4 linked regions of the Caenorhabditis elegans genome follow. The protein of the gene in region 2 purifies or fractionates together with the protein of the main gene of each other region. This does not show direct contact. Each region holds a gene or a part of one and is shown on either strand. Other genes may lie near its edges.

Region 1 (7,434 bases), on a different chromosome or scaffold from region 2:
AATATACACTTTTTGTAAGTTTTCTACGGGAAAACTCGAAATTTAAGGCGATTATAATAGCTTTTGTTGAAAAATTTGGTCATTTCTCAATTCTTCCAGCAAAAAATCGTAATTTTCCATACAAAACGTTTTTTTCTGACAAAAATCAGTTTTAAAAGAATTTTCTGTTTGAAGGTGAAAATTCAGCGGTTTAGTGCGTTTTCAGTGAAAATTGGTTTTTCTGCCAAAAAAATCACCACTTCTTCTCGATTTTTTCCATTTATTTTTCAAAAAAATCAATTTTTCCAGTGAAAAATTGAAAATTTCGCTTTAAAATCTCTATAATTGTCGATATTTTTACCATTTTCTTCTCCGAATTAACCTTAAAAGCGAACATTCCATGCTGAGCCGGAGCTCTTGGAGGCATCGGATCCTGTGACGGAGCATCTTCCATAGATTCTCTTGGATGCTCCGATCGATCAAATGAGAATAAAGAGCCGAACATCATGTGCTGAACAACTGGAAACTTCTTTAAAACTTCTCCTTCATACATTTTAAACATTCCACTATTGACTTTTTTCCAGTGTGGAACTGCTGAGATATTCCAAAGTTGATTTGAATGTTCGTGGAAAGGGCCGGTTTTTGTTTGATTGATAAAGTTTACGCAGTCCAGGAAAAGACTTGTGTGGGCGTGAGTCTCAACAATATTCTTTTTTAGGTAACTGTCCGGCACGATACTTTTTGAACCTGAAAATCGAAACAATTTAAGATTTTGGAGCGGATTTTTGGCTATTTTTTGGCATTTTTCAACATATTTCAGGCCTATATAAGCTTTGGAAATTCAAAAGTTTTTTTTTTTGTAATTTATTGGTAGAAAACTAGATTTTTAGGTGATTTTCTAGTAAAATTTTATAATTTTTTTTCTGAAATTTTCACAGAAATATGCTTTTAAGCGGGGTTTTCTAGAAAAATTGTAGAAAAATTTTTTTTTGTCATTTTCGGTGCCTTTTTTAAGTTTCACAGGAAATTTAGTGAAAACTAGCTTTTTTTGAAGTTTTCCTACGAGGAAATGTTGTAGATTGAAGATTTTAAACGATTTTTCCCGGATTTTTAATAGGAAAATCGCGAAAATTGATGATTTTTAACGGAGAAATTGAGGATTTTTCAATGAAAAATTGTGAAAACTTATGATTTTTAAAGGAAAATTGCCAAAATTTATGATTTTTTGGCAAAAATCGCAAAAATGTGATGATTTTTTAATGAAAAATCGGGAAAATTGTTGATTTTTTATTTAAAAAAAATCGCAAAAATTTGTGATTTTTCGACAAAAATCGTGAAATTTGATGATTTTCAACGAAAAAACGGAAAAATGCATGATTTCGAATGAAAAATCCTTGAAAAATGAACGTTTTTTGAACAAATACTGTGAAAAAAGACATTTTAGATAGAATTTTCCGACAATCTGTGAAAATAAGTCGGTTTTTCTTCGGAAAACGACTTAATAATTGTGGTTTCTTGAGAATTTTTGAGTTTTTAATGGAAAATTCAGCTATTTTCCTGAATTTCAAGACTTCTAGTTGCTCCAACATATTACCAATAAGCTGAGCGCTTCCAAAAATGAACGGCGCGAACTGAAAATCGTCAATCGCATGAACTCCACGACTTCCAGCCGGCTCCATCTTGAATCTGGTCTGCAGATGACGGCACACTCTCAAATACTTGTTAAAAATGCGAAGAACGAGCACTTTGTCATCATTTTCTGTGAAAACGCCCAACTTTTGCAGGCAAAACAGCAAAATTAGGAAATTCGCCTCGTGTCCCGAGCCGTAATCGATTCGAGTGGCGTTTCCGAAGGATTCTGTGAAATATGGAACCAGTTCGACTAGAGCATCGTGGACGTTTTCCGGAAGAACGCTGGCTAGGAGATCTGGGGATTCCTGGAATTTTTAAAATCTTTTTAAATACATTTTTGAGCTAAAAACCTTGCAAAGCTTCTCATAAAACTTTCTGTAAGCTTTATTGCCAAATCTTTGCTCGGAAACATCTTCCAGAGGAATTTCCTCAGCCCATTTCTGAAAAAAATCCATTTTTTATTTTTTTAAATCTGGTTTTTCGTAATTTTCCGTAATTTCTCGAACCTCCAGCTTATCCAGCATGTCGATAAAGCTGATAACCAAGTCTGTGCATCTCATGTCTGCAGTTGTATGAACTCCAACTACAGAATCATTCAAACGATGCAAGAAAGCCAGGTACTCCTCGTAAGCCTGCAAATTTCCATTCATAATCCTTCAAATCGATAAAATTTCTGTTCTACCTTGGAAAAGTACCACGGATTCAGGTCGAACACATTTTTAATCATCTTTTCCGGCGGTTTATACGAGTTTTCAGCCATTTTTCTGGAAAAAAATCTATTTGTTTTGATTTCTAGAACTTTGTTATGTAAAAAAATAATGCAGCAAGTGCGCTCCAACGCAAAACCCCATTGTGGAGCGTTTTGTGCGTGAGAGGTGTATAGGAGTGTGTGGCTCGCGCAGCGTCTTTAGTGAAAAATTTTTATTGATTTTAAATATTGTTTAATTCGGTTTTCACGGATTTCTGAGCTTTGAAAATAACCGCCCGTGTTTAAATTTCAATTATATTCAATTTCAGTAATGCCTGTCGAAGTTGAGGTTCCCCCAACCACTTACGAGAGACTCCAGCAATACAAGGTGAATTTTTAGCGTTTTTCTTCATTTTTATCGATAAAAATTTACAGGAGAAGTTCTCCGATGCTCTCCGTCATCCAGACTCGCCAGACTGGTACAAGAAGGAGACCCACGAGTCTGTGAAGAAGGATCTTCTCTGGGCTGCTCCATACGACGCCAGATTCCCACAGGTTGGTAACTTTATTTAAAATTTATTATATATTAATTAATAATAAAAATGTACAAGTTTTCAGGTCCGTAAGCAACGTCAATGCTTCGCCTACTACGTCGATTTCCATCGTTGCAATGAGCTCATGGGACAGGACTACAAGCCGTGCAAGTTCTTCCAAAATGTCTACAAGGACTTCTGCCCCGGATTCTGGACCGAGAGATGGGACGAGCTTCTTTCCGAGGGACGTTTCCCAGCTAAATTCGATCGCTAAATGAGATTGTTCGATTGTATTCGAGAACAGGCGTTTTATTAGTGCTGATATTCGATAAAAAGTGTCACTTGTAAAATATTTTAAACACTTTTATTTCTTATGGCGTTATGAGACGCTTGAAATATCTCATTTTTTTTAAAAATCATATTTCCCCCAAATAAATAATTTTCTCAGTGGAAACCATGGCTGACTCAACTCGCGTCAGCGAGAAGGAAATCGAGCGCCGCGAGACCTTTATTCGCGCAGGACACAGAGCTCGTCACCTGGCCGATCCATTCACATGGAGCTACCCATTGAAGGGTGCCAGTGCAATGCTCGGAATCTCGCTGGCTTCGGTTTATTTGCAAAATCGATGGAACAAGAAGCCGTACTACTACGCAATTGTTCCACGGCTTTTGCTCATCGGAGCCGCCACCGCCGCCGGATACGCTGCCGGAGCACTTCGAGAGAGACACTATCAGACGAGAGACGCAGTCATCGAGCACTACATGAAGCTTCATCCAGAGGATTTCGACCATTTTAATGATCGTGAGTTTTGGAATTTGCTGAAAAATCGATTTTCAGATTTTACTGCAATTTCGAAAAAAAAACCCGGCTGAATTCGATCAAATTTGAAAGATTTCGGCTTTTTCCCCCCAGAGAATACCGTATTTTTCGCGATTTTCTGTGATAAATGCAGAAAATATATACATTTTCCCCGAAAAAAAAACGCTGAAAAGGAGAAGATTTGGCTAAAATGCTCGATTTCGGACCAATTTTTGCATTCAAACACCCAAATCAATGATTTTTATCTTAAAAATAGCAAAAATTGGCGTGAAAAACCGATTTTAGCCTAAAACACCATGGAAAACTACAAATTATCGGTTTTTTCGTATTTTTTAACAGTAAATTCGTCATTGTTCATGTAAAATACTATAAATCACCGATTTTTATGTTAAATTCAGAAAAAAAATAGTGAAAATGGCGCATTTCAGCTTAATCTTCTCCTCGAGGAGTACACGAGCTGCGTAAATCGACACATCACAGAAAACTTGAATTTTGGACTAGAATTCAGTTTTTTTTTCGCAATTCTAAGTAATTATTTTGGAAATTAGTGCGAAAAAAAGGGAATTCTGGCTAAAAAATTCAAAATTTCTGGGAAAACGGAAGATTTTCTAGTGAAAAATGCAAGAAAATCATCAAAAATTCATGGAATCTATTTATTTTTCAGGCAGTGGACGTTCATTCTCTCAAGTTCTTCTTCCATGGTATCCACGCAGAACCCAGTACACCAGATACGACTGAACAATTCTCTCGAAGTCTCTTTTTAGTTCATTATTGTAAATTAAATGAAGAATTATTGATTTTTTTCCCGGAAAATTCTCATTTTTTTCATTTTTCAGCATCCATCTGGTCTTTTGAGCCGTTTTGAATATAACTAATTAACCCAGAAGCAATTTTGGGGCAAAAATACTATACTATATCCTGGGTCTCGACGCGACAATTTGTGTTAAATGCGAAGAGGGATGCGCCTTTAAAAAGTACTGTAGTTTTAAACTTTTGTTCCGGTGGTTTTTATTGATTTTTTATAGTTTTTCTCACATTTTATGAGAATTTTTGCATATTTTTTTAACGAAACTAGAATAAAAACACATAAATTTCTATAAAATCTGAAAAAAAAACTATGAAAAATCGATCAAAAATTTAAAAAAAAACTCAAAATTGTCGTGGCGAGACCAGTTTTTTGCCACAAAAATCGCGCAAAAAAACGCCAGATTTCAGCATAATGGAAGCATCTTCGGAACAAATTTTATTGGATCGAAAAGATCGATTAATTGCAAAACTGGAACAAAGAAATGAAGAACGAAAAGTGCAAACTGAAGAATGTTTATCGAAATCTGAAGGAGCACAAATCGATAATTTAATGGCGGAAATTAAATCGGATTTGGAAGCGAAAAAATCCGTCGATTCGCAGAAAATCGACCGGCTTCGTAAGAAATTTCCCCGCCTCAAACAAACAAAATCGATAATTTTCTTCAATTTTTCAGAAGAATTTCTGGCGTTCTCGACGAGTAACCGGCAAACTAAAACAATTCAAAATTTCCTTGAAGACGTTCGAAAACAGAAGCTCGCGCTGAATTCTGGACCCAAATTCAAGGGTTTTTCGTTTTCAGTTCGGTGGTTTTTTTCACTGATTTTCTCAGGCAACTCAAATCTAATATGAAAATATTAAATAGCAATATTTTTGTAGTTGGGTGATATTTCAAGATAAAATCGCAATATTCCGAGACTTATTCGAAATCTTTTTAGATTGAGCAATCTTTTGAGAATAATTCGCAATATTTTGAGGTTGATTCGCAATATTTCTGAATCTGAAAATATTACGAAAAATTCGTAATATTTTGAGATGACATAGCAATCTTTTGAGATTGGTTCGCAATCTTTCTGAAATCTAAAAATATTACAAAAAAATGTGTAATATTCTAAGATTAATTTGCAATCTTTTTGCAGTCCATAAAGATTACAAAACACCATTTCCAAATTTCCATCGGCTTCACATGATCGTGATATATATACAACAATTATGATTACTGTTTCGTTCTAAATTCTCTTTTCTTCCAAATGATAAAAGACTTTTCAAAGTAAAAAACAGCTACATGAAAATCTATATAATGGAGTATCTCACTGTTAACGGATATTTGATTTTTCGTTGCATATTGTAGAAGGAGTTTTTGCAGAGAAAGCCACAGAATTCACAAATCTGTCCACTCATGTAATTTTTTCTAGATAATTGGCCGGTCATATTACAAATTCAGTCAAACAATCACGAAGATTGGTCGAATACATTAAAGTAGACTTACAACTATTCATTCACGCGTGATGCGTTTGAGATTTTCTGATTTCAATTGAAATCATAAAATATTGTCAACAGCAAGCATGTTCCCAGTATACTCATCATTTTAATCAAATTGTTAGTGAAAAAAAATATTGAAAAAATAAAATGTTATTCTCTCTTTGACAAAAATTAGGAAAATTTGCAATTCTAACATTTTTAAAAGCATAACAAATAAATCGTTTTTCCACATTCGCTTTCAAAGAAAGTTATCCAATTTCGCTCTGACACTTAGAAAAATTTGCGAAAAGCCACTGATTTCCCATCAAAAGTAACGAAAAGGACGTGCGCCCATCAACTATTTACTTAAGCAATAACTAAATCTAGATGCGACACGTACAGGATGGCTCAACAGGTAAGATAATGGTTCATAGACTCAACGACAAGCGACGGACAAGTTCAACTCCCCTCAATGGCAACAAAAGTTCTTCGAGTTATCACAAGACAGTTCTAGAATAGTCGATGAATGCATTTTTAATATTTAGAGACAAATTCGCAATATTTTGAGACAAAATCGCAATCTTCGGAGATGAAATCTCAATCTTCGGAGACTAGTTCGCAGTCTTTTGAGACAAATTAGTAATATTTTGAGATAAAACGGAAGTCTTCCTAGAAATTTTCACACTTTCGCAATATTTTGAGATGAAATTGTAATCTTTTGAGACAAAATTGAAATCTATTCGAAATTTTTAGTAATCTTTATATGACGCACAATTTCTCGTTTTTACTACAAAAATATTGCTATTTAATATTTTCATATTAGATTTGAGTTGCCTGAGAATTCTCTATAAAAACTGAAAATTAACTCAAAAAACTGAAATAATGTCGCAAATTCGCGGGAAATTATGAGTTTTTGCGGCATTTTTCGTTAAAAAATTCACATTTTCTCTATAAAAACTGAAAAATATCGAAATACACAAGAAAATGTTAATTTCCTATATTATTATAGAGAAAAACTTGAAATTAACACAGCAAAAAAAACTGGAAAAAACGAAAAATTGATGAAATTTGTCAAAATTAATTATTTTCCATGTTATTTTTGAGAAAAATTCGAATTTCTCTGCAAAAACTGAAAAAATAGAGTTTGTGCGTTTTTCAACGTTTTTCGTGAAAAAAACTCTGATTATTCCGAAATACGGTACTCAGGGTCTTGAAACGACAATTTTTGATAAATGCGAAAACGTGTGTGTGCCTTTAAAGAGTACTGTAGTTGTGAACTTTTGTTGCGGCGAATTTTTCAAAGTTTTTCTCACATTTTTCGTGTGTTTTTGAATAACAAAATATATTTTTCAATGCAAAAAACGAAAAAAAAATGAGAAAAATCTAAATTTAGGCGAAAATGCAAAATTTTCTCTCGATTTTCCAGTTTTAGGCCGAAATTCGTTTTTTAAAGCAATTTTTTCCTGATTAAAGCTTGAAAAAACCACGAAAAAATGTCAAAAAATCCACACAATTA
Region 2 (7,292 bases):
GATGGATAATGATCAGGTGAGTATCCTGCTCTGAAGTAAACAATTGCTACTTGACGCCCATCAATCATCAAATCGCTTCTATCATTCAATGATAATCTGAAAGTTTTAACATAGAATTCTGTATTCAAATACAAAAACTTACTGTTCATAGCATTGTGTTAAATTTCTTCTAATAATACATGTCATCGGTACTCCTAACTTTTCAAGTTCATATTCCACGTGGCGTTGATCAATCTGATTTTGATTGACGTTTTCTACAACGACAAGAACCACAGCTGCTGGGTTCGAAAAGTGGGACCAGGCCTTGAATAAAGCTTCAGCGATCATTGGAATTGGCTTGTTTTCTGGAATTGCTCTTTGAATGACGTCATCGGAAATGTTCAACGCTTTAAGAACTCTGATATGCCATTCGGTGAGCCGTAGAGCATGTGCTCCCATTGACGAGGCGATATTGTTTATTTCAATTTGTTTCAGTCCATATTCCGCTGAATATTGATCCTTATGACACATATAATCAGATCGTTGAATCGCGAGAGTGACTGGTTGCTTGAGTCCTTGGGCTTTGACTTTCTTCAAGATCTCAACCATATTCCGTGTGAAATCATCAGTTTTCACGACATTTTTATGAATATCGATTAGAAAATCAAATTCATAAGCTATGAAGTGATAAAGACTTGCGAAAAGGTTCTGAATATGAACTGCTTCTTCAAAAACATTTTTCGGGAATGGAGATGGAAGAAGTGTTAATGGAGTAGTTTGACAAACTTCGCTGCTCAACTTGTCGGTTGATAGACGCATGACAAGCCCATTAGCCTGAAAGATGTTTAAAATTCATTGAAATTCGGAAATTAAGAAAAAAACTTACATGAGCCCAATCGTGAAGATCAGCGGTGAGCTCGTTGAGCTTATCATCTTCGAGCGGGAGCCTTGGAGCATTCAACAGCAAAATCCGGTCATCTTTTTGAGCCATTCTTGAAAAATTACGAATTATTTTTTCAGTTTTAAATAAATGCTTTCGAAAAATGCAAAACATGACGCGAGAGTGACAAAAATGAAATTAAGCGAGAATGAAATGAGAAAAGTGAGCACTGAAATCGTGATGACAAAACGTATAACGTGAGGTTTCTATGTTTTGTCATCATTTCTCTTTGAAGGAAGTCGGAGATATTGCTTTTCGAGTGGTAAAAGGAGGTTTGAACGAGTTTATGATAAAATCTTGGATGCTTATTTGTTGTAATTGACATGAATAATAGTTATTACATGAATTTAACAGGAAAATTTGAAAAAAAGAAAGGGATTGGCATGAAATTTGCTCCCGAAAACAAAGAACTCAAAGAGCAAAAATCATTTTGGTGCTAAACGTCACGTTTTGCGTCAAGGAGCTGCTGGCGCACATCTCGTGCACGAGTATTGCGCTAGCTATTTATTTTACGCTAATTTTTTGTTTCTATCAAAATTATTTTTCTACACACAAAACAACAAATAAACAATTCAATTTTTTATATTTAATTTCTCGTGTCTGTTTAAACTTTTATTAATCGATAATTGTCAGATGGGAGCATCCCAGAGTGCAGAACAAGAGGCACGTCCCGAAGTGGTGCGCATTGACCGAAATGAGATTCCCGAGGAGTACAAGTGAGTTTTTTACGTTGGGAATTCTTTTGAAACTAGGAAGTTTTTATTTATTCAACGTTTCAGAACCGTCGGTGTATCATCGGACGTTGTGAGCCGAGTCAATGCGACCAGAGTTGCCGGAAACGACGGAGAAAGTGACCGTCTCAGACAAGAATTGGCTCGAGAGCGTGAAGAAAAAGCTAGATTAAGAGAAGATATGGCTAAGCTCAGTCAGCTGCAACAGAGAAAGGTAAAAATCAAAAAATCTTTCCTGATAGGATTAAACTTAAAAGTTTCAGACCGCTGGAATTTCCGCCGCCCCAGTTTCGATTTCCGGAAATGATTTGGAGGAGAGAAAGAAAATTTTCGATGACACTGTTGAACGCGTTCAGAAGCAATTCTTCGCTTATCACCGTGAAAATGTGTGCCAGGATAATGAAAATGTAATTTTTAATTTGAGAAAGTTTTTGAGAATATCCAACATTTTTCAGGAGATTGTAAGATGTCTTCAAGAAAATCCAGGACGTGTTTTGAAGTGTGCTCCACTTACTGAGGTAAACTTGGGAAATTTTTTAGAATCACGAGCAAAGTAAAAAATTAAAATTTAAAAAAATATAAAAGTTGTGAAAATTGTTTTAAAACAATCACTAACCCACTTGAATTATTTGAAGTCTTGCATAACTCTCAAATTGGGAATAATTTTGAAACTATTTTTTTTGTTTTCATTTCAACTTAGGAAAAACTAAAGTATCTAAATACCAGGAAGGTTTTTTTTTTAATTTTTCAAAAAATTGAAGATTTCCGAAAATGAAAGTTTTGGCAAAATTCCAAAATTTATGAACATTTAGAGTAAATTTTGAAGGCATATCCTTTTCATCCCTCTAAAAAACACAAATACTAGTTCAATAAAACAAACAATTGTTTACATAGTTTGTAGGCTACAATTAATTAAATTGTGATACAAATTATTTTCTTTTTATAATTTCAGGCATTCGAGAAATGTGTCGGCGAGTTCAGGCAACAAGTGCTCAAGGGAAATTAAATTTCTTCATATCGATTTTTAAATACATTGTTTCATATTTCCCCACATTTTTTTGATCGTAGTGTTGTATAGGTGTGTGTGCGTGCCCCGTTTTCTCAAAACTTGTATTTCCCCCTCAGCCTCCCACCCAAAAACTTTTGCTTTTTTATTTCAAATTTTTTTGTTCCACGAACGAAACAATAAACTTCTAGGGAACTTTTAAATCCGTTTTCAAGTTATATATTCCAAAATCAAAACAGGCATTTCGCTCCTGTACCCATCTTTCCCCTTACTTAATTTTCAGATATTTTTCACTATATTTTCAGAATATTTAAAAAATCAGCTACGCGTTGTAGCAAATTTTTTTTGGTACACAAACACAGCTGATAACAACAGGACACACAACGCAGTGGGACTGATGATGGGCGGTTCCGTATTATCACCAGAAAAATGAGGTAAAACGGGTTATTTTTGAATAGATTTCAGATTTGATTCTCGCCAGTACACCTGACTAGGTTCGAATTTATTACTGTGTGGTCTTGTTGACTTTCAAGATTCTAACTTTTTAAAACTATTATATGGACACCTCGTTTACGTAGTCGTCTACAGATAACATGGTCTCGCCACGATCAACGGGTTACTGTAACTCTTGTCGATTTACGGGCCAATATTGCCTTGTCGTTTTAAAATTTGATGAATAACTTGTTAAATACAAATATAATGCAAAAGCGACTCGTAAATTGATAGGAAGTACAGTAACTTGTTGTTGTCCTCGTGGCAAGACCCATGTAGAAGATAACTTCACGCAATGGTCAATAACGCTTTATCTGGAGAGCTAGGGAGCCACCAACCAAATCTCTAGTCGTCTGGTCAATGTTTCCGAACGCACAACACTCACATTTTTCGCGCATTTTTCGTTCTAGTCGCCTCCCATGTCTTCATCTTCGCTTCCATTCTTCTTTCTTTTTTTTTGCTCCGAATGCGTTGTAGAAAAAAGTTTTTTCCAAAGTAGCAAAACGTAGCTCCATTTTTAATTCGAAAAGAACATAAATAGTCAAACTGCTTGCAAAGCAAACAAAAATCGTTTCCAGTGCCTTTTCTTAACTGATAAATATGAAATCGATTTTTTCCTGGAACAAATCAAATTTAACTAGTTCACCAATTTGAGAACAAAAATCATACAAATTTGTGACCGCGGAAGTGACGATAAAGTTCAAACAAACACTTGTTCCTTCCTATCATTGTCACGTGCCACGTGCTCACAGGATCCGGAGCCAACCCCTGAAGCATACCACAAAAGTGCACCTGACGTCTCACGCAGTTTCAGGTTAACTATCAAATTTCAGTCCTTCACTATTTCTCTTTAGAACAATTTTATCGTCCACAAAATCTAAAATCTTAACGCCTCATCCAATTAACTTCAACCTTCAAGATAACTGTAACATTCACACTTGAATCCAATTAAGTGTATCAAATTGTGTAATAACTTATTGCCAAGAAACGAGAATATATTGAGATGTTGGAAGGTTGGACACCTTTATTTACGTGTTACACACCTCCCTCTCAAATTTCCGCTTCATCCTCTTGTCGGAAGAGGTCGATGGAACTGGTTTACGCGTTTTTTATTTGGCGCAGTACAAAAAAAACACCTCTGAAAAATATGAGGTTATTGTCATTGGTTTTGAAGATTATTAGGTCTATATTTAGGTTCTTTATTTTTTTGTTGGAACGACTATTTTATTTTGAAACTTGTGTCTTCAAATGATAGTTAAAAGTTTAACGATGATTTTGAAAACTTTGGAGAATTGCCAAATTGGCCAGTTTTTGATAAATTACAAAATTTTCTTTTGTTTTGTACAGTAAATGGAATAATTTCAAACTAAATACAATTTTGCTTAAATTAATTCGTCTATCAGCATAGTGTTTTGCAGAAAAAAGACTTGTAGCTGGCTCCAACCACAAGATTCAAATAGTGATTCCTCGATCTGCAAAACTAGAGAATAGCCAATATAGTCAAGGTTCACCGCTATCAATTTCGACGACAGAAAAGTATGATGATAAGACTATCGTTGAACTCTTACTACTGCAAAAACCAACACTTGAATCCTGAAACGAATTCCTGTTTCCATCACTTTGTTGTTTTTCTAGCTTATTAGAATACGAAAGTTACATCATTTCCACTCGAGACCCTAATTGACATACCCTTCTGAAAACTAGTGCACTTAGAACATCTTACCTCCCCTTATTGGACGCTCTCGATATTAAAGTACAAGTCATTCTAAAAAGTATGTATTAGAAAATTGTCTAGCTTTAAACGTGCCCCATATTTTGTTAAAATTAATTTCCCGGCATCAATTTTTTGTTTATTTTTTTAATTCTTCCAGATGCAGTCACAGCTTTCTTCAATTGGATTGGCTTATTTCCTATTGGTAGCCAACTTTTACTACCAATCAAATGGTTTCAATGATCACTACACATTCAGCTATTCCTTTTGGTGAGTGTATATAAATTGATAACAGATTGATATAATTTCAAAGGTTCAAAGGTTTTTTTAAAATGTACATTAAAGTTCAATATTTATACTTTCATAATGTACCAAAATGTTTTAGGAAAATAACTCCAATCATTCTACTTGTTGCTTTTGCATACTTAAATGGAGGTGGACTAGGAAAAGAGCAACGCAAAACTGCTGCCGCTGGCTTGTTCTTCGGAGGAGTCGGTGATTGGATTATTGGAATGCGCCATGATGGAATCATTTTGGGAGCTGTCGCTTTTGGAATTGGTCACCTCTTTTACTTGGTGAGTTTGGTCATTGAAGACATAATTTCGAGATGTAACAATCAAATATCATGTACGTGGTACTTTGACACTTAGATATTAACTCGGTCCAGAAGAAAAATTTGGGTAGAAGATTGACAAAAGATAGGCATCTAAACTTGGGCCTGGTCGAAGCCAAGTTTCACCCAAGTGTGGATTAAGTTTATATTCCGAACCAAGATAAGAATTTTCGGACAATGCTAAGCATGTGGTTGTTGCCCAAATACCAAGTTTAATAAAGGAAAAATTCGTAAATATAGATTTCTCCAATATTTTTTTATCAACAGATCAATTTGACAGTAATTCAGAGTTTCAAAAGGTTATTATTACACAAAAAGATTATAAAGAACATTGTTAGTAGTCTTTAAAAAAATAATCGGGGGATATTCAGAGAATCGCTAACTATTTTCTAAAAATTGGAGAAATGTCAAAGAACAGTTTCTGAAATTTTTTACCTATGCTCAGAATTATCAATTATCACAGAGCTTTTCAGAGTCTCTACCGGCAACATGCCACCAAAATTCATACAAAGTTCCTTCTTGGAATGTTGGCATGGGCTTTAGTCATTGGACAACTTTGCTTCATTCCGATGCTTGCTGATCATAGAGGCCCATTGACTGTCTTTGCCAGTTATTCACTTCTTCTATCAACGTGTACGTTGATAGCTGTCTCACAGTATCTCAATGGATCAAAGTCACAGAATGAAGAGGTTTGATTTAACTGCACATTTGATATAATACAATTTTCTATTGCAGGGGCTCCTCTACCGTGCCATTGGCTTCTTCCTCTTCTACATCTCAGACTCGGTGCTCATGCTCTCACACACTGGATATTGGAAGTTGGCTCCATCATTCTGTGTCCTCTCAACCTACTACTCTGCTCAATATTTCATTCTTTTTGGAAATACGATGGCTGTGAACCCTGTGAAAAAATCTGTAAAAATCAACTGATGATCACTAACTTCTGAACCTGTACATATTCTATTTACAGTGTATTTCTCCCTTTTTCCTATTTTTTGAAAATATTTCTTACAATTATGACTAGACTACCTAATGTCAGAAGCTTTAATATGAAATATCTAATAAAGTTCTTCAAAATAATTCTAGGTACAAATTTTTCGTCAATTGGGAAATTTGAAACAATGGTCCTGGAACTTCCTTATAATATCTGTATGCTTTGTAAAAAACATTTTTAAAGCAAATGTTTTCAATATTCACATTGCCCATTTGCACGTGCAAATGTTGATGTTTGCTCGTTGATTCTTAATTCATAATTTTATTATATAAATAATGTTACAAAGTCTTGGTTTTCAATTATTTTAAATTATTTTTAGCTGCTAATATACTTAATTTATTTAGATGTTATCACCTGCCCAATGTCTAGCCATTTATGGCGGTTCGACGGTTTTGGCGTACATTGAAACGTCAAAATTCGAGAAAAATCATCATATTCTTCTCAGTGCACCTCTAGTGATCTTGTCTATTTTGACACTTGCAACAACAATGAATCCAAAGTGAGTTGAGCGGTTATAAAACTTATTTTTAGCGTATTTAAATTTTCTTTTAATTTATAAAAATAAGACATTTTAATAATAGTTTTAACAAAAATATATGACTTCTCCAGAGCCCGATTCGCCACTGCCATGTCATTTTTAATGTCCGCCATCGCGACATACTTCCAATCAGTCAACCGTACTGGCCCAGCTTCCGCTATCTTTTACACAATTGCCAATGTGTTCTATTACTTCTCATATAGGTATTAAAAAGCCAACTTCCAGTTTGAAATCTAACTATTTCATTTTCAGAGACATTGTAACTTCAGTTTCTTCTCCAATTGTGTT
Region 3 (7,465 bases), on a different chromosome or scaffold from region 2:
TACCTCTGTTTGCCTACGTGCCTTTCTACATTCTATATGCACTATGAACTGATTTTTATGTTTATACAGATTTGATTTCTAAATTTTTCACTTATCCATTTCAGATAACTTATTGAAACTTCAATTAATATATTTTAATTTGATAGAATGATCATAAGAATTTTGACAGCAGGCACGCGTCCACAACGGTTTACCAAGGTTGGCAACATTATTTGGACAAAGGTAGGATAGTGGAAGGCCTGTTTGAGGTATCAAGTGAGAAAGAAATAGGTAGATAATTATAGGGATTAATTATTAAAGTATTATATAATCTCACAAATATTTCACATTCGTAGAAATTCGCAGAAATGTTAGTGTTTTAATACGAATATAAAAGTCGTTGCTCATTTGAAATTGCTCACTAAAGAAATCTAACATAACATAGACACAACGAAGTTTAATTAGATATTTTCTTCTATTTGAAAAACCACCATATTCTATAAAAAAATGTGCTAAATTCAACTGCCAAACAAGAAGGCGATCACTTCCTACCGTACTTCCTACGTTAAAACTACTCAGCTTTGCCAGCTTATATCTCGCTCGTCATTTGTTTTATCAAAGCAATTTCAATTGACGAAATATTAATTATTCCCTTGGCTATAGTTTTGCGTTTACTTTATTTTTGCTATTTTTGAAATTAACTGAGATATAAAGCTTCAAAGTGGAACAGGACTACTCCAAAAACAAAATCAAAACTTACTGTAGTTGACTTCATCATTTTTCGTGTTTTTTTCCAAAAAAAAAGTACAAATAAATTGAAATAAGCGCTAAATAATTCCTGAATCAGAGACCAGTAAGTTGCGAAGAACTAAGAGTTTAGAAATATAGGTGAGGAGGCGGTGTCTAGCTGTTTGAGGTACTTGATATTGAATGTTGATATTGATACGTACTGATCAGATAGATAAGGTAAATAGAAATTGACTTATAATGAGAATGTGGAAAAGAAAGATAAAAAGGATAAATTTTCAGATAGGACCGAGTCAAAATGACTCAACCAGCAACATTTTTGAGGAAGAGAAAGGTATCAATGAGAATGTGGAGACTCCGCCTTGTCTATAGGACGCCTGTTTTCTTTTTCCATGGCTCTCTCCGAATGGCACATGATCTCTGTGAGGGAGAACCCTTCAAGTCAGAATCACTCTACTTTTCACAATCTTTGTGTTTTCTTTCATCTTCTTCTTATTTTTCTGCTTCAGGCTCCGTGCTGCTCCTTCCAAATTGATAGATTTGATGATATCCAGTGATAAAAAAGAAACAGAGGTCACTTTTGATCGAGCCAACCATGAAGGAAACGAACAAACAAAAATGTGTTATCAAAGAAAGAGATATCGTGGTTTTCGATTGGATTTTATCAAACCACCGCTCTGCCATACTTCGATATCGAAACGTCAAAGTGTGCAGGAGATTTGTGCGAGCACACGTTCAAGTCATATGGCTCTTTTGCTCCGAGAGCAGGAAGACCGCTTGACACCGGATAGCTTTTCCTACATGTACACAGTGTCACTGAAAAGTGTATCAGTGATAACTGATTGGAGAAAATGAAACGTTTGAGGAATGATACTAACATGAACGTTATCGTATCTTTGAACTCTCTGAAATGAGATTTTAAAAAAATTATTGCAGAAAAATGCAAAAGTAATAAAGGAAGTTTCTGAAAACACAAAATCTAGGAATTACCTAGTTGCAAAAGTCAAGCGATTTTCGCCTAAAAACACGATACCCGGTCTCGCCACGAACAAATTATTTTAAACTCAAATCTGCTATGAAAGGTGTGCTCCTTTGAGTAGTAAGTACAGTAACCAACTTCCCGTTATTTCCTGTTCTTTATTATTGTTTTCTAGTGTTTAAATTTAGATTCTCAAGAAAAATGTTCTAATAAGAGAATATTGCAAAATAACAGGCAAAGGATTACTGTACTATTTAAAAGCGCACACCTTTTTGCGACTTGGATTTAAAAAAATTCGTGGCGAGAGCCGGTACTGTGGATATTTTCACTAAGGATCGTATAATATGCAACTGGTGCGATTACTCTGGAATCTAGACCCAAAAAAACTGAAAATACCGATCACTGGAAATCTTGAAAAAGCTGGAAGACGACGATAGGCATGCACATAGGCCTGAAGATATGCCTACTTACGGTTGAAGTCTAATTGCACAAAATGTTCAAATTTTCAACTGTTGTTCATAATATTTCACTTGTTGTTTGAAACATTGAGCTTGTTTTTTCATACTCAGATATCATGAACATTCTCGTGATAGAACAACAAGCTCAGCTGTGAAAGATCAGTGAACTCTGATCAGTCAGTTTCTGAAAACCCTATTGTGCATATTTCAGTTTCAGATTTTACTTGGATTCTTGAATTGCCTACTCTAGATTTCGCATGACGGATGCATTTCCTTTGCATATGAATGTAAAGTTGTTAACCTCCATATGATATGTCATGCAAAATGTCATTTTCTATGTTATTTTTCTTCAATCCATGAACCCAGAGAAACTTGGTATCATCTTGATTTCTCCCGCCCGTTTGACACGCCGCCATCTGCTCCTGCTGCTCTTTGCCGTTTGGCACGCCATTAAACCAACGACTCGATTCGACGTTCTGAAACGATGAGAGGAAATGGTGAAGGAGAACAGAATGATGATCTTAAGATCAGAGCTTGAGACGAATTCATCCGGGATTTCAAGGGAAGAGAAAAAAAAAACAAAAACAGCAAGTAGGAAAGAAAATGGCTATCACGTACATAGAAAATGCAATAAAAGTTGTGTTATAACAAAAATCATCAAACCAAGAAATAGAAAAAAAATCTAAATATTTCCTAAAAAATTAAAGCTATGGGGAATCAAGTTTAATATTCAATTGGCGGATTTTTTCGAAGAATTTCCAGTGACGATCCTTTAGGAAGATCACCAACTTTCTCTCCCAATTGATACATCCGTGTCTGAACTTCGTCAGTGATGATTTTTCGCATTTGTTCAGTGGTCAGTGACTTTGATAGAACTGTTTTCTTGAGATCAGACAGGAAAAATGGCTCTCCGATGTGAACTGTTACGGTCTGAAACGGAAAAAAATGAATAATTTCACTACGTTTTTTGCAGATTTTATATTTTTACGTCTAAATTTGATTATTGAACTTGAAAAATCTTCCGACTTACATTTCCAAATTTAGGATAGTATGGAGGTTGTGTTGGCCAAACTTTTTCCATCTCTTTACACCATACAGGCAATATTACTGGATCGGTTTTAGCATCCATCACAAGCCTTCCAATTCCCCACTTGAATCGTAGTGGTTCACTTTCAAGAGTACACACTTTTCCTTCTGGAAAGATATGAACCCATTTATTATCATTCAGCATATCCACACAGAAATCCATTCCTTTTTGATAAACTCCTTCTCCACGAACACACGGAACACAACGTCCTAATGAGAACATTCTGAAAAATAAATATGCGACGATTAATTTGAAAAATTCAAGAGAAAAAACTCTTACGTTGTATGGAACTGTTTTGTGAAGCAAATGTTGTGAGCTGCGAGAGTGTATCTATTGCGATCTTTGTATCTCCAAAACTCACGGAATTTCAGAATACCTGAAAATAGAAATTAGGAATGCTATAATAAATCATTCGGCTTACACCACATGAGCGGGTCGTCGATATTTGAGCGATGATTTGAGACTGTGATGAGTGGTTGATTCGGATTTTCCAAAATCTTGACGAATGTCTCTTTGTTGTGGCATATCAACTTATTGGATCCTAAAATGTATCGAATTTAATAATTTTAAACTTTAATTAAAAGACAAACCTCCAAGGAACATAAGTTTGGAAACTGAAGTGACTAAACTCATTGTCATGTATGATTTTATACGGTACAGAAGTGACGGTTTTTTTGGAAAGGGCCATGCAAACCGGAAGCCTTGCACGTCATTTGTTTTATCCCGCATTGTACCCGACATCGTGCTGAAATACTTTTAAAGTTTAGAAAAATCTTTCGAATGGAATAATAAAGTGTTAGAGAACGTGGAAACTATATTAATTTTAATCAGAACAATGCAAGAAAAAAGAAAGAGAAAAGTGCGCCGCGCGCTTGCACCTCGAAACTCCGCCTTCTTTTGCAAGCCGCAACGGGCTTTTTAATAAATGGCAGATCTAAATTTAACTGCAAAATAGTTTGTTTTATTCAAATTTGCTAAAATTTTATTGATTTCGTATGTAATTTATGTTAAATTGTTATATTTCGTTGTCATGTATCATGTTTTTTGTGTGCCCGTTCATTATTATCGATTTTTACTCAGTTTATATTTAAGCAGTCTCACAAATTCATAAAAACGAATTTCAGGCTCAAATGGGTAACCAGTATGTGAAACCAGAACGCACGGGCAATTCCCCTTATACCCGGTCCGGAGTTCCACCACCGGCGCTTGTCAAGACTGGTGACAAGCCTCTTCACAGGTAATTCTTTTAGATTCTGTTCAACAAATTCTATTCAACACAAAAAAATTCAGAGTGAATGACCGCATGTCTCTCGAGCTCCACATGGCCGATGAGCGTGTTCGTGCCGCTGGTTTGAGCCCAGCCGAAAGAGAATGGAGAAAGAAGTGGGTTCATGTGAGTTTTTACATTTTTTGTCAATTGTTAATACTAAAATGTTTATGTTTAGGACCAGCACCTTCACGCTGACGAGCCAGTCGTTGTCGATGCCGTTCATCGTCAGTTGAACCCAATCAGAACCGCTTACAGACTTCCATGGGACAAGTTCTATCTTCATTACCTCAAGGTGAGATATATTTTCTTTAAAAAAATCAATTTTTTAATTTGAATTTCTCATTTATTGCATTTCAGCCAACATTCGGAGTTTACTATGGAACCGCTATCAGAGTTACAGCTCCAAAATTGCTCATGGCTTTCGTCGTTGTGCAGACTGCCTATTATTATTGGAAATACGAAGTCAAGGTATTCAATTTTTTGAATTTTATATTAATTTCACGAACCATTATCTTTTCAAGGACTGGACACATTTGAGAGGACTTGAATCGATGCCACAAAAAGAAGTTATTGCTAGTGCTCCAGCAATTGAAGAGAAATTCCCTGGACTCATGGATAAGGGACTCGCCAACCCATCCAAGGATGACTACTACACGTGAGTTAAACAATAATTTGTGGAATATTGGAAAATTGAAACTTTTCAGACCAACATTTAATAAGCGTACTGCTTACCTCGATGTTGGAGAGACAAAACGACCGTGGTAATCGAAAGGAAACGAGTGACAATCAGTCATTCGAATATGTACTTTTAGGGTGTTGTAGACGAATTTTTAAAGTTTTTTCTTTGTTTTTGACCCTACCGTAAATAAAAAATTTCATGAATGATTTATTTAACCAACTTTCTAGGTTTTATTCATAAAAAACAAGTTGAGATTATAAAAAAATAGGAGAACAACGAGATGGTGCTGCGGAAATACCTGAAGAAGGAAAATAACAAAGAACAACAAAGTATTAAGAGGTATTTTAAGGAAAGAACACTAGTGGATAAAGATACTACAGAGGAAACCTTGAAGGTTATGAAAGAATTTACGTTAGGGAATTAATATTGCTAATGATGAGGTTGATGGGAATAAAATAAGGAGGAATAAGAAGTTTAGGCCGTGACGACCATCTTGATGACCATTGTGAAGATCAGACCAGAGACAATTCCAGAGATGAGGAAGAATCCGGCCATCATTCCAGCGACCTGAGCCTTCGATGGATCAACAGTCTTCGAGGTGTACATCATGGCGAGTCCCGAGAAATATCCACTTCCAAAGCTCATCGAGGCGGCGATAATGACGAAAAGCCAGGTGGATTCGAAAAAGACGGGAAGTGAACGGGTCTCAGGGAGATAGTTGCAGAAGATGAAGAATGGAATATAGAGGAGACGGAGGTAGACTGGAATCCAGAGCTTGTTCGGCGCAGGCTGAAATAAATATTGATATATTAGATTATTCTAATTTATTCAAGTTTACGGTATTCCTTCAATCAGATTTTGCCAAAATCTCAAAAAATAAAAACATACCCATTGCTTTCTTCCGGCGACAATTGATCCAATAAAAGCGAACACGTTGAATTGAAGGAATGTGGTCACATCCATGAAGTATTTTTCTGAAAATTCACGGTTATGTATTTCAAGAGAATTGATGAAAAACTGACGTGGCAATGGGAAATCGTAGACACCTCCTTTCTTCTCATCCTTAACATACATCATGACTCCTGGGAAGATGGAAAGAGTAACGAAGAAGACCAAAAATACGTTGATGAGTTGTGGGAAGGCCTCCTTGAAAGTTGCGATGTAATTAGCCACTTTTCCTTCGCTATCAACTGCTTCATCGTTTTTGTTTCGTTGTCTTTCGGCACGGGTACTGTAATACTGGTAGAAACGTTGTTTCTTGAGGATGTGGAAGGAGATAAAGCAGAAGACGAGTGTGATTAAAGCAATGGAGAAGTAGGCGAATGATCTGTCCAAGATGTTTCTGGTGACAGCTTTAGTCGACATACTGAGCAGGGTGACGAAGGTTCCACACAAATTGTTTCCAATGATCACAGCATTGGTGTACTTGAAAGGAAGCTCCGATGCAAGACCGAAGATACTGTTCTGGTATACTCCATTTGCTCCATTCAATACAATAATTGTGATGATGGTGAGTGTGAAGAATCCGGTGAGCCCTGAAAACGTCTGGGTTTATAAAAATAATAGAAAGGGATGATGACTTACATGTGGAGGTTTCGACGTAGATGAACATCATTGTAGTGATCACACAAACAGCTACAATTGAGAGTCCGACAGTGATGCGACTAGCAAGTCCTCCCCTGAAAGTTTACATTTTATTTAGAACTTAACGAAACATTGAACTGCAAGAATTTATCTTTTAGAAAAAAGTTGCTCACTTGACGACAATGAAGATGTTGAGAAGATTGAGAAGAAGGTTCGGGACTTGAGAAGCGATCGTTTGGAAGCTTTGGAAGTTGGATGAGTAGACAGTTGGATATCCAGTAACTACTCCGGTGTCCATGTCGATTGTTGAGTTGGCGAGCATTTTGTATGATTCGAAATACTGCAAATAATGATTATAAGCGAATTTTTTACAATTTAATACATTTTCTAGATAATTTCTATTAGCTCACATTCCTAAAAAATGGTTTCCATGCTTTGAAATAGGCTTTTAAAATATCGGTGATCTTTTTTGTTGGTATTTCAAAACTCACATCATAGGAGATCGTAATAAGCATGTTCCATGGCATAAGAGTTCCGATTCCATGGAGCAAGATAATGTAGAAAACAAGATTTCCCTTGTCCTCTGGCTCCGGGGATTCTTCCTCGACTTTCTTTGTTTTGTTTAACGGCTGTAGCTCCACTGCCGACGACATAGTACCCTGAAAAACATTTTGTAGGTTGA
Region 4 (7,541 bases), on a different chromosome or scaffold from region 2:
AGAGACTATCGGGATCTTAATTCAATGGCAAGTAAGTCTAGAGATTTTTTTACATGATAAACTTTCAAATCATTCAGGAATATTTGAAATCTCGTTCCGACAGACTCAGCGAAGTTTTCCTATCGAAAGTCAATTCATATTTTGAGCACATTCGAATCACGCTTGCTCTACCGTTTGATGAGTCGAAATGGGCAGAATTGGAAACACTGACAGAAACTGATCTCAACAAAACACCGATTTTTATCAACAATATTCGAACATCTACAGTCTCTGTCATACTCCATCTCGAAAATCTTATTAAATCGTTCCATCTGAATGTAAAAAGTGCAGAAATTTTTCCATTCGACTCTGACTCATTTGGGCTCCCACCGATCAATTGCAGGAAGATTTTGAATCCATTATTATGGATGAAAGCAGGAATCGAAAAGTTGATTCAAAATAATTGTCAATGCGACCAACCTCCAATTGTTCCACTGATTACATTGCTAGATCTTGCGCCAAAGGAAGGTCATTTTCAGGAATTAGCTATTGCCTCATTGTAAGCTATTATTATTAAATATATTATTTACATCTTATTATTTCAGCTTTCTAGAGAATACTGCCCATAAACTTGACTATTCATGTTCTGATGACGAAAAAAAGTTCCTGGATCAGATAAAGATGAAGTTTGGAACAACAAAAGTTGACAAATTAACAATGGTTTTACCGGATATTCTGATGGCATACAGCGAAGAGCTTGTGGAAAGAGTGATGCCAGTGTCATATTTCATCCCATTTGAACTCTTCCGTATGATGCTGCTCTCTTGGCAACCAAAAGTATTGAATCTTCGATTAAGAACAGAAGCATGTTCTTCTATTGAAGATGCTGCAAGAATTGAATGGGATGACGAGGATGTTTTCACTTCTACCACTCTTTTCAACTGTCCCTTGTTTGATAGATGCGAACCAGTGTGTCTTGGAGACGAAGAAATTATTTTGAATTGCAAATTGATCGTTGATTGCTCAGGAAGTCGTCTTTTTGATCCCATGTTCAACGAGGGGAACGTCTATACTGCTGGCAGAGATTTCTTGGTGTTATTCCCAATGCAAACGATCATATTGAAAAGAATTGTACCATTGAAAGTTGGTTCATCAGTGGTAAGTTCCTCTTTTGTCTTTCTAATTGGTTTTTTTTCTCATTGCAGAAAGTTCAATTGAAAAAACAAATCGACTACATAGTGAACACATTCTTCTTCAACGCCAGCGAACACCAAGATCGAGTTGTAAACTATGAACTCACATTTACCAACTCTACAGATGTTCAAATGAGTGCAGTGAAAAGATGTATACCACAAGTCGCCAATGGACGCCAAATTGGAGTCAATTTGAATGTTGAGCAAGAAACAAGAGATTTATTCACTGATCATGGCAATTCTTGCCCTGGAAGACATATGTTCGCCAGTTTTTTCGATTCAGAAAATCAGGTTATTGTAGATCTAAAAGTAGTGCTGGCCAATTAAGTTGTGCAGTATTATTATTTCCTTGTTGATTCAGTTGGTTTTCAATTCTGAGTACTCTTTCGTTGTCTGTTCTGTTTATTCTCAATGCTGTTTTCTCTGTTCTTTGTTTCTCTGCTCTTTTTTCCTTTTTCAACATAAATTTATGTGTATCCCGGCCGTAGGACGAGACTTCACTTGTTTCTCTTCCACTTGTTTCAACTTAAACGCGAATAAGTTTTTCAGTGCTATTCTGATTAGTGTGTGCACTGAAAACTGATCAGTGAGCGAGTTTGTAAGTCGTTGCTAGGCATTTTCATCTGTGGACAGCAGAGAGCGCGCTTTCATCGATCTTGATTCATTTCTCACGCTGCTGCTCTTTTCATTTCTTTTTTTTTGCTCTGAGATCGACGAGAAGTGAAAAATGCCACTTTTTGGAAGCAAGAAAACCGATAAGAAAAGTGGAATGAATGAAGCACCAAGCTATCCGAAGCAAAGTGTAAGTTTACTTAACTTTAAATCATGAATAATTTGATTTTTTTAGGCCGTTCCACCTCCTCCGCAAGTTGCCCACTATCCGATGCCAACATATCCACAAGGTCCGCTTGTTCAACAAAACGAGTTCTACTTCACCTCCGCTGGCCAACAACTCCAATCGGTTCCAACTACTACAGTCGCATTTGCAAGAACCGATCTGCCTGGGGCTTACGACAACTTCTGTGAGGGATTCCTCGACGGACCAGACTTCTCAAACCGAGTCCCAGACAGGAACATTCCCCCTGCTCCAGGATCGTATTACTTCTACTCGGTAACACACATTTTTAAATTTCAACTTTACCATACCCACTTTCAGCATGGCAACAGCTCAACCCCGTCGTTCGCCCCTCCCTACTGTGCTCCACCACCAGGTCCATCTTCATCTGCTCCACCAACACTCCCGACGTCTTCAGGCAACCTGCCGCCACCTCCAACCTACGAACAGGTTCTCTCGCAGGAAGTGAAAGAAAAACTATGATAATTTCGCTGAAGATTTTTCAACATTTTCAACACTGTATTCCCTTTGCATCTGTGATTGCTGTTTGCATACTAAATCATAATTATTCTGCGATTTCATTTTTTGTGCTCTTAATTTAGTCATTTTACCTGAACGATATTTTGATCAAACCACATTTATGCATTTATTTTCTCCCAAGACTACAAATAAGCCACGATGTAGTCTTCCTGAAGGGCAAAGTGCAAAAAACGAATGCTATCTGCGTCTCCCCGGTTTCTGTACTATCTCAATAACGTTTCGTTATCTTCTCTTTCTCGGAGAGTAGTCCAGCAATCTCTGTGTTCATTGGCTGTTATTTGTGGCGAACCCTCACAGCAACGACGTGGTCGGACACACAAACATTTTCTTCACTTATTTTTTTATCTTCCTTTTGTTGTTGATATCTTCGTAAACATTCGTTCCCACTATCGATCTAAATAGGATAAAAAAGCTTTACTGTTCTTTAAAAACTCCTAAAAATCCAATTTTAAATTTTATATTCGAAATTTAGCGTTTAAAGTGCAATTTTCTTTGATAAGATAAGTTAAGATAAGTTAAACATTTCTTACAAGGCCTGACAGGGTTTTCTTAAATTCAGAAATGTATTAACTTGAACAAAACTAAATATTATCACCCTTTTTTTAAATAACAGGATTCAGGTATTTTTCTTAAATCAAAAAACCACTTAATTTCTACATTAACCTTACTTAATATCGGAAAATTTCAGCCATCAGATCGAAGTTTTTACATTTTATTTTTCAGACGCATTGAAATGTCGGACGTTCTTCTGAATTTCATCGCAGGAGGAGTCGGTGGATCATGTACCGTAATCGTCGGACATCCATTCGATACTGTCAAAGTCCGAATTCAAACTATGCCAATGCCAAAACCAGGGGAGAAGCCACAATTTACCGGAGCTCTTGATTGTGTCAAACGAACAGTTTCCAAAGAAGGATTTTTTGCCCTCTACAAAGGAATGGCAGCTCCACTTGTTGGTGTTTCTCCACTTTTTGCAGTTTTTTTCGGAGGATGTGCAGTTGGAAAATGGCTGCAGCAAACTGATCCAAGTTAGTACTAAATCATCATGGGCAAACAAATAAATTGAAAATATGAGAATTAATCTTACCATTTTGCATTTCAGGCCAGGAGATGACATTCATCCAAAACGCTAATGCTGGAGCTCTTGCTGGAGTCTTCACAACAATTGTGATGGTTCCTGGTGAACGAATCAAGTGTCTTCTTCAAGTTCAGCAAGCTGGATCTGCTGGTTCTGGAGTTCATTACGATGGTCCACTTGATGTTGTCAAAAAACTATATAAACAAGGAGGAATTTCATCAATCTACAGAGGAACTGGTGCCACTCTGCTCAGAGACATCCCAGCTTCAGCCGCTTATCTTTCAGTATATGAATATCTAAAAAAGAAATTCTCTGGAGAAGGAGCTCAAAGAACATTGTCACCAGGAGCAACATTGATGGCTGGAGGACTTGCTGGTATTGCCAATTGGGGAGTGTGTATTCCAGCTGATGTTCTCAAATCTCGATTACAAACAGCCCCTGAAGGAAAGTATCCAGATGGAATCCGTGGAGTTTTGAGAGAGGTTCTTCGCGAAGAGGGTCCTAGAGCTCTGTTCAAGGTGATTTTTTTTAAACGATTGGGACGATGCAAGTGAATTTTTCGTCATTTCTCGACACATTTACATACATATATACTTTACCTGATTTCTAGCTACAATTTGTATAAATTTCAGGGATTCTGGCCAGTAATGCTCCGTGCTTTCCCTGCAAACGCTGCCTGTTTCTTCGGACTTGAACTCACGTTGGCTGCCTTCCGTTACTTTGGCATTGGTGGACACCCAACACCATCTACAGAAGTTGTTCCACTCCCACACGACGAGTAAATTTTTGAAAATTCTCATTTTTCTAATTAGTTTATACCATATTTATTTGATATTTTTTTCATTATTCAAAAACATTTACCCGAGTTGCCTTCTATTTCCATGTTTTGGGCATTTGTATGTTGTGTATATTTCTACATGAAAATCGTAAATTTTTTGATGAACTTCAAGAAGTGCTCAATGTTGAATTATATTTACCGTGTTCAGCTGTCGCTATACAATTTTTTTTGAGAAACAGGTTCATTAAATGCAGAACAATTATCGAAACAAAAGAGTACAACGGGTATGGTGAAAAAAAAACAGGGGAACATTTAAGATAAGACTATTCTAGATCGATGACGCTCTGAAGACTGCCAGGTTCACTTTCTGAAACTATTTTCACAATTTTAAACGATTGGGATAGTGATGATTGGAGTTAAATTGAATTTCATTAATTGAAAAACCTACACTAAATAAGAGTATTCTGGAAATGAGTAGTTTTAATTTAGAAATTCTTTTTTAGAAAACCTAACCTTTCTGGAAGAAATTGTATTGAAAAAAAGTTTTAAAAACACCGAAAATTATAATCATCAATAAAAATTTCTTTTCAAACGTTTACTATATTTACTACTCCTACAAAAATTTGGAAAAAAACAAAATAATGCTGAGAGCGATAATATTTCAAAACCATCCAAAAGAAAGCTGAAAATTCTAATCTAAATAATGACATTTACCTTTATTTCCTGTATCTATAGACTCGCTTCGAGCACCTTCTTCAGAATCAGTTTCATCCTGATTATCAAAAATATCATAGTCTGAATCCATCGAGCGTGTAGGTTTTCCGCGTTCAGAATTATCCAGACGACTTTGCTTGCTTTCTTTTCCATTCTAAAAATAACATTGATTTTACAAAATTATATACTAAAAATCTGTAATTCTGTCGTTCCAGATTTCAGAATGCTGGGAAGATTAGCAGTTCGACAGGCTGTCCGTTGCAGTAAAGGTAATTAATTTCCCGTTTTCTAGGAAATTTTGTAATTTTACATAGCTTAGAAGTAATTGCAAAAAAAAGCAGATTTTGCAGATTTTGGTCATGTGAGTTGATAAGACTGACAGCTGATAAATTCAGTACTCTGAATTCGTGGAAACAATAATATTAAATGATAAGTGTCACTTGATCAACTGTGCACAACTATACTACTGAATATTGTGAAATCTGGTCATCTAGATATCAGCAATAGCATGGTCAGAATAATAACATCCTAGCCGTTAAGATCAGCACAGGAGCCAAAAATACGGTACCCGGTCTCGACACGACAAATTTTTCTTAAATACAAGGTCTGCCCCTTTAAAGATTACTGTAGTTTCAAAATCTCGATTCTGTAACATTTTCATCCTGTTTTAAACCTATTTTTTGAACAAACACATCAATTTTATTGGAAAACAATGAGAAAAACGAGAGATTGAAGTTACAGTACTCCTAAAATGAAATTTTTCGTGTCGAAACTCGGTACCGTATTTTTGACTCAAAAATCGCTGTTTCGCCTGTTGTTCATTCTAACATTTTTACAGCATCCATCAAGCCCGTCAACACTCATCAGCTTTGCCTGCGCAATTTTTCGGCCATCCGACGTCTTTCATTTGTCGCCGGCGCCCAGTGCCGTCCCTACCACACAACAGCAAACATGCTCCATCGCACGGCAAGAGGCGAACACGGGTCAGTTCTGCGTCCCGGTGTGTGTATGTGTTTTTGATGACAATAGTGTCTCGAAGTGCCAACCTCTAACTATCCTTTTTCGTTATCGAAAATGGAAGGGTGGGTTCTAACGTCATTCACCCTATTTGTCTATACGTCTGTTATGTTTATCATTTTCACACCAATCTAAAGCAATTTCCACGAAAAATCTAATGATCTTACATTGTGTCATTCTGAAACATTTCATTCTACTGATAGGCTTCACGACTTCTTCCAGTTTCTATTAATTTTTTCTCCAAAAGCTTATTTCTATGTTTTTGAAATATTTACAAAAACCTTTTTTCAACAACTCACATCTGTTTTGCTTTTATCAGCCACAGTGCTGATATGGATAATTTCACCTCCTCGAACAATTCTGTACGAGGCCTTTTCGGAGAGATACCAGGTGTTTCCGTTTCGAATTCTACGGCTTCTGGGAACTGGAAGATGACGCAAGAAGCATTTTTCCATAACTGAATTGAAAGTTGACACTTGCTCATTGGACCTAAATTTGAATCGAATTTTTAAAAGCATTTCTTCAATGTGATTTTCCTACCATAAGTCACGAAATTCAATTTCCACGTGGGTTTTATCGTGGTGTTCAGAAATATGTTCACATGGTGATTTCGACACAGGAAGAGTTCTCAAACAGTGGACACACTCATAGCGTTTTGCTATGTCTACATTGAGAAATTCCGATTCTGGGTGGGCGTCTAGAACATGTTCAGTCTGTTTCCTAATTTTTGTATTTCGGTTTCTACCGGTTTCCACTTCATGCTTGCACAGCTGAAAATTGTAGTTGAATCTGACGCAATTGTCGGGGTCTCACCGAACAATATGCCATATCAAGTTGATCTTCCTTTCCGTTTTCAACGATTATCGAGTCATTTGGTGTTTCAGCATCCATTGAGTTTACCATAAACAATTGCGGAATATCTGTTATCAGCGAAATATTAAAAATTAAATGAACGAACTCTTACTGTTTACAATGTTCTCTGATTCGTGATCATCCAAAACTGCATCTTCCTCGATGTTAGTTGGCTCGAGCAAAAGTTTCAACGCATCCGAGTTTTCGGCGAAAGTTCCGCGCTGAAATACTTTTTATTATTTTCGAACAATATTCGAGTTATTCAATCCTTACCGCCCATTTCTCTAATATTTCTTGGTTTGAAGACATCTGAATGGCGGGTTGGTTTGCTTCCGAAAACGGATCAACCGATTTCTGTTCCTCGGCTGTTTCTCGAAAATTAAAAGTTCCACTGTCCAATTTATCCAAATATTCTTTCATTTCTTCCGGAGTTGACGAGAAAATGTGATTCAAGTGATTGTTCGTCTAAAAATATGAATTAGGAAGAATAATTAAAGAAAAAACTCACCAAATAGCGACGAAGCTTTCGTGCAGCATTAATTTGTTCGATGTTAT

The links.
Region 1: the proteins of chch-3 (region 2) and nduc-2 fractionate together in Caenorhabditis elegans (co-fractionation; one large-scale study listed by BioGRID). This does not show direct contact.
Region 3: the proteins of chch-3 (region 2) and ndub-6 fractionate together in Caenorhabditis elegans (co-fractionation; one large-scale study listed by BioGRID). This does not show direct contact.
Region 4: the proteins of chch-3 (region 2) and dif-1 fractionate together in Caenorhabditis elegans (co-fractionation; one large-scale study listed by BioGRID). This does not show direct contact.

The regions. Positions count from the first base shown.
Region 1 is NC_003281.10:2,783,574-2,791,007, forward strand, and holds nduc-2 (NADH dehydrogenase [ubiquinone] 1 subunit C2), read left to right. Parts: upstream 1-3,278; 5' UTR 3,279-3,288; coding exon 3,289-3,634; intron 3,635-4,316; coding exon 4,317-4,390; 3' UTR 4,391-4,455; downstream 4,456-7,434. Other genes in the region: Y71H2AM.20 (Serine/threonine-protein phosphatase 2A activator), read right to left, coding at 362-726, 1,574-1,916, 1,962-2,051, 2,118-2,243, 2,294-2,371; cox-6B (Cytochrome oxidase c subunit VIb), read left to right, coding at 2,631-2,687, 2,735-2,854, 2,918-3,106; tbcc-1 (C-CAP/cofactor C-like domain-containing protein), read left to right, coding at 4,872-5,076, 5,134-5,258.
Region 2 is NC_003280.10:9,415,461-9,422,752, forward strand, and holds chch-3 (MICOS complex subunit MIC19), read left to right. Parts: upstream 1-1,552; coding exon 1,553-1,635; intron 1,636-1,698; coding exon 1,699-1,864; intron 1,865-1,913; coding exon 1,914-2,057; intron 2,058-2,105; coding exon 2,106-2,168; intron 2,169-2,458; exon of another isoform or gene 2,459-2,547; intron 2,548-2,602; coding exon 2,603-2,656; 3' UTR 2,657-2,856; downstream 2,857-7,292. Other genes in the region: gss-1 (Glutathione synthetase), read right to left, coding at 1-96, 143-813, 866-970; M176.4 (lysoplasmalogenase), read left to right, coding at 5,020-5,129, 5,245-5,434, 5,946-6,161, 6,208-6,402; M176.11 (YhhN-like protein), read left to right, coding at 6,811-6,965, 7,076-7,207, 7,257-7,292. UniProt on the Caenorhabditis elegans protein: Plays a role in maintaining mitochondrial morphology. May act as a component of the MICOS complex, a large protein complex of the mitochondria.
Region 3 is NC_003282.8:11,648,029-11,655,493, forward strand, and holds ndub-6 (NADH dehydrogenase [ubiquinone] 1 beta subcomplex subunit 6), read left to right. Parts: upstream 1-4,374; 5' UTR 4,375-4,380; coding exon 4,381-4,487; intron 4,488-4,540; coding exon 4,541-4,643; intron 4,644-4,695; coding exon 4,696-4,812; intron 4,813-4,877; coding exon 4,878-4,988; intron 4,989-5,041; coding exon 5,042-5,175; intron 5,176-5,224; coding exon 5,225-5,285; 3' UTR 5,286-5,404; downstream 5,405-7,465. Other genes in the region: ZK809.8 (Cardiac phospholamban), read right to left, coding at 740-757; acl-3 (Tafazzin family protein), read right to left, coding at 2,887-3,093, 3,194-3,473, 3,530-3,626, 3,672-3,791, 3,841-3,991; ent-1 (Equilibrative nucleoside transporter 3), read right to left, coding at 5,674-5,988, 6,088-6,173, 6,222-6,734, 6,784-6,878, 6,957-7,123, 7,275-7,436.
Region 4 is NC_003282.8:7,548,604-7,556,144, reverse strand, and holds dif-1 (Protein dif-1), read left to right. Parts: upstream 1-3,270; 5' UTR 3,271-3,280; coding exon 3,281-3,575; intron 3,576-3,649; coding exon 3,650-4,143; intron 4,144-4,257; coding exon 4,258-4,407; 3' UTR 4,408-4,488; downstream 4,489-7,541. Other genes in the region: F49E8.7 (BACK domain-containing protein), read left to right, coding at 1-31, 78-538, 585-1,137, 1,185-1,499; F49E8.6 (Early nodulin-75-like), read left to right, coding at 1,900-1,974, 2,020-2,283, 2,329-2,490; oef-1 (C2H2-type domain-containing protein), read right to left, coding at 4,727-4,776, 5,118-5,271, 6,434-6,623, 6,675-6,904, 6,948-7,054, 7,099-7,207, 7,260-7,451, 7,495-7,541; pam-1 (Puromycin-sensitive aminopeptidase), read left to right, coding at 5,341-5,386, 5,956-6,100. UniProt on the Caenorhabditis elegans protein: Seems to play a role in the maintenance of tissue differentiation in the developing embryo, but not for its initiation.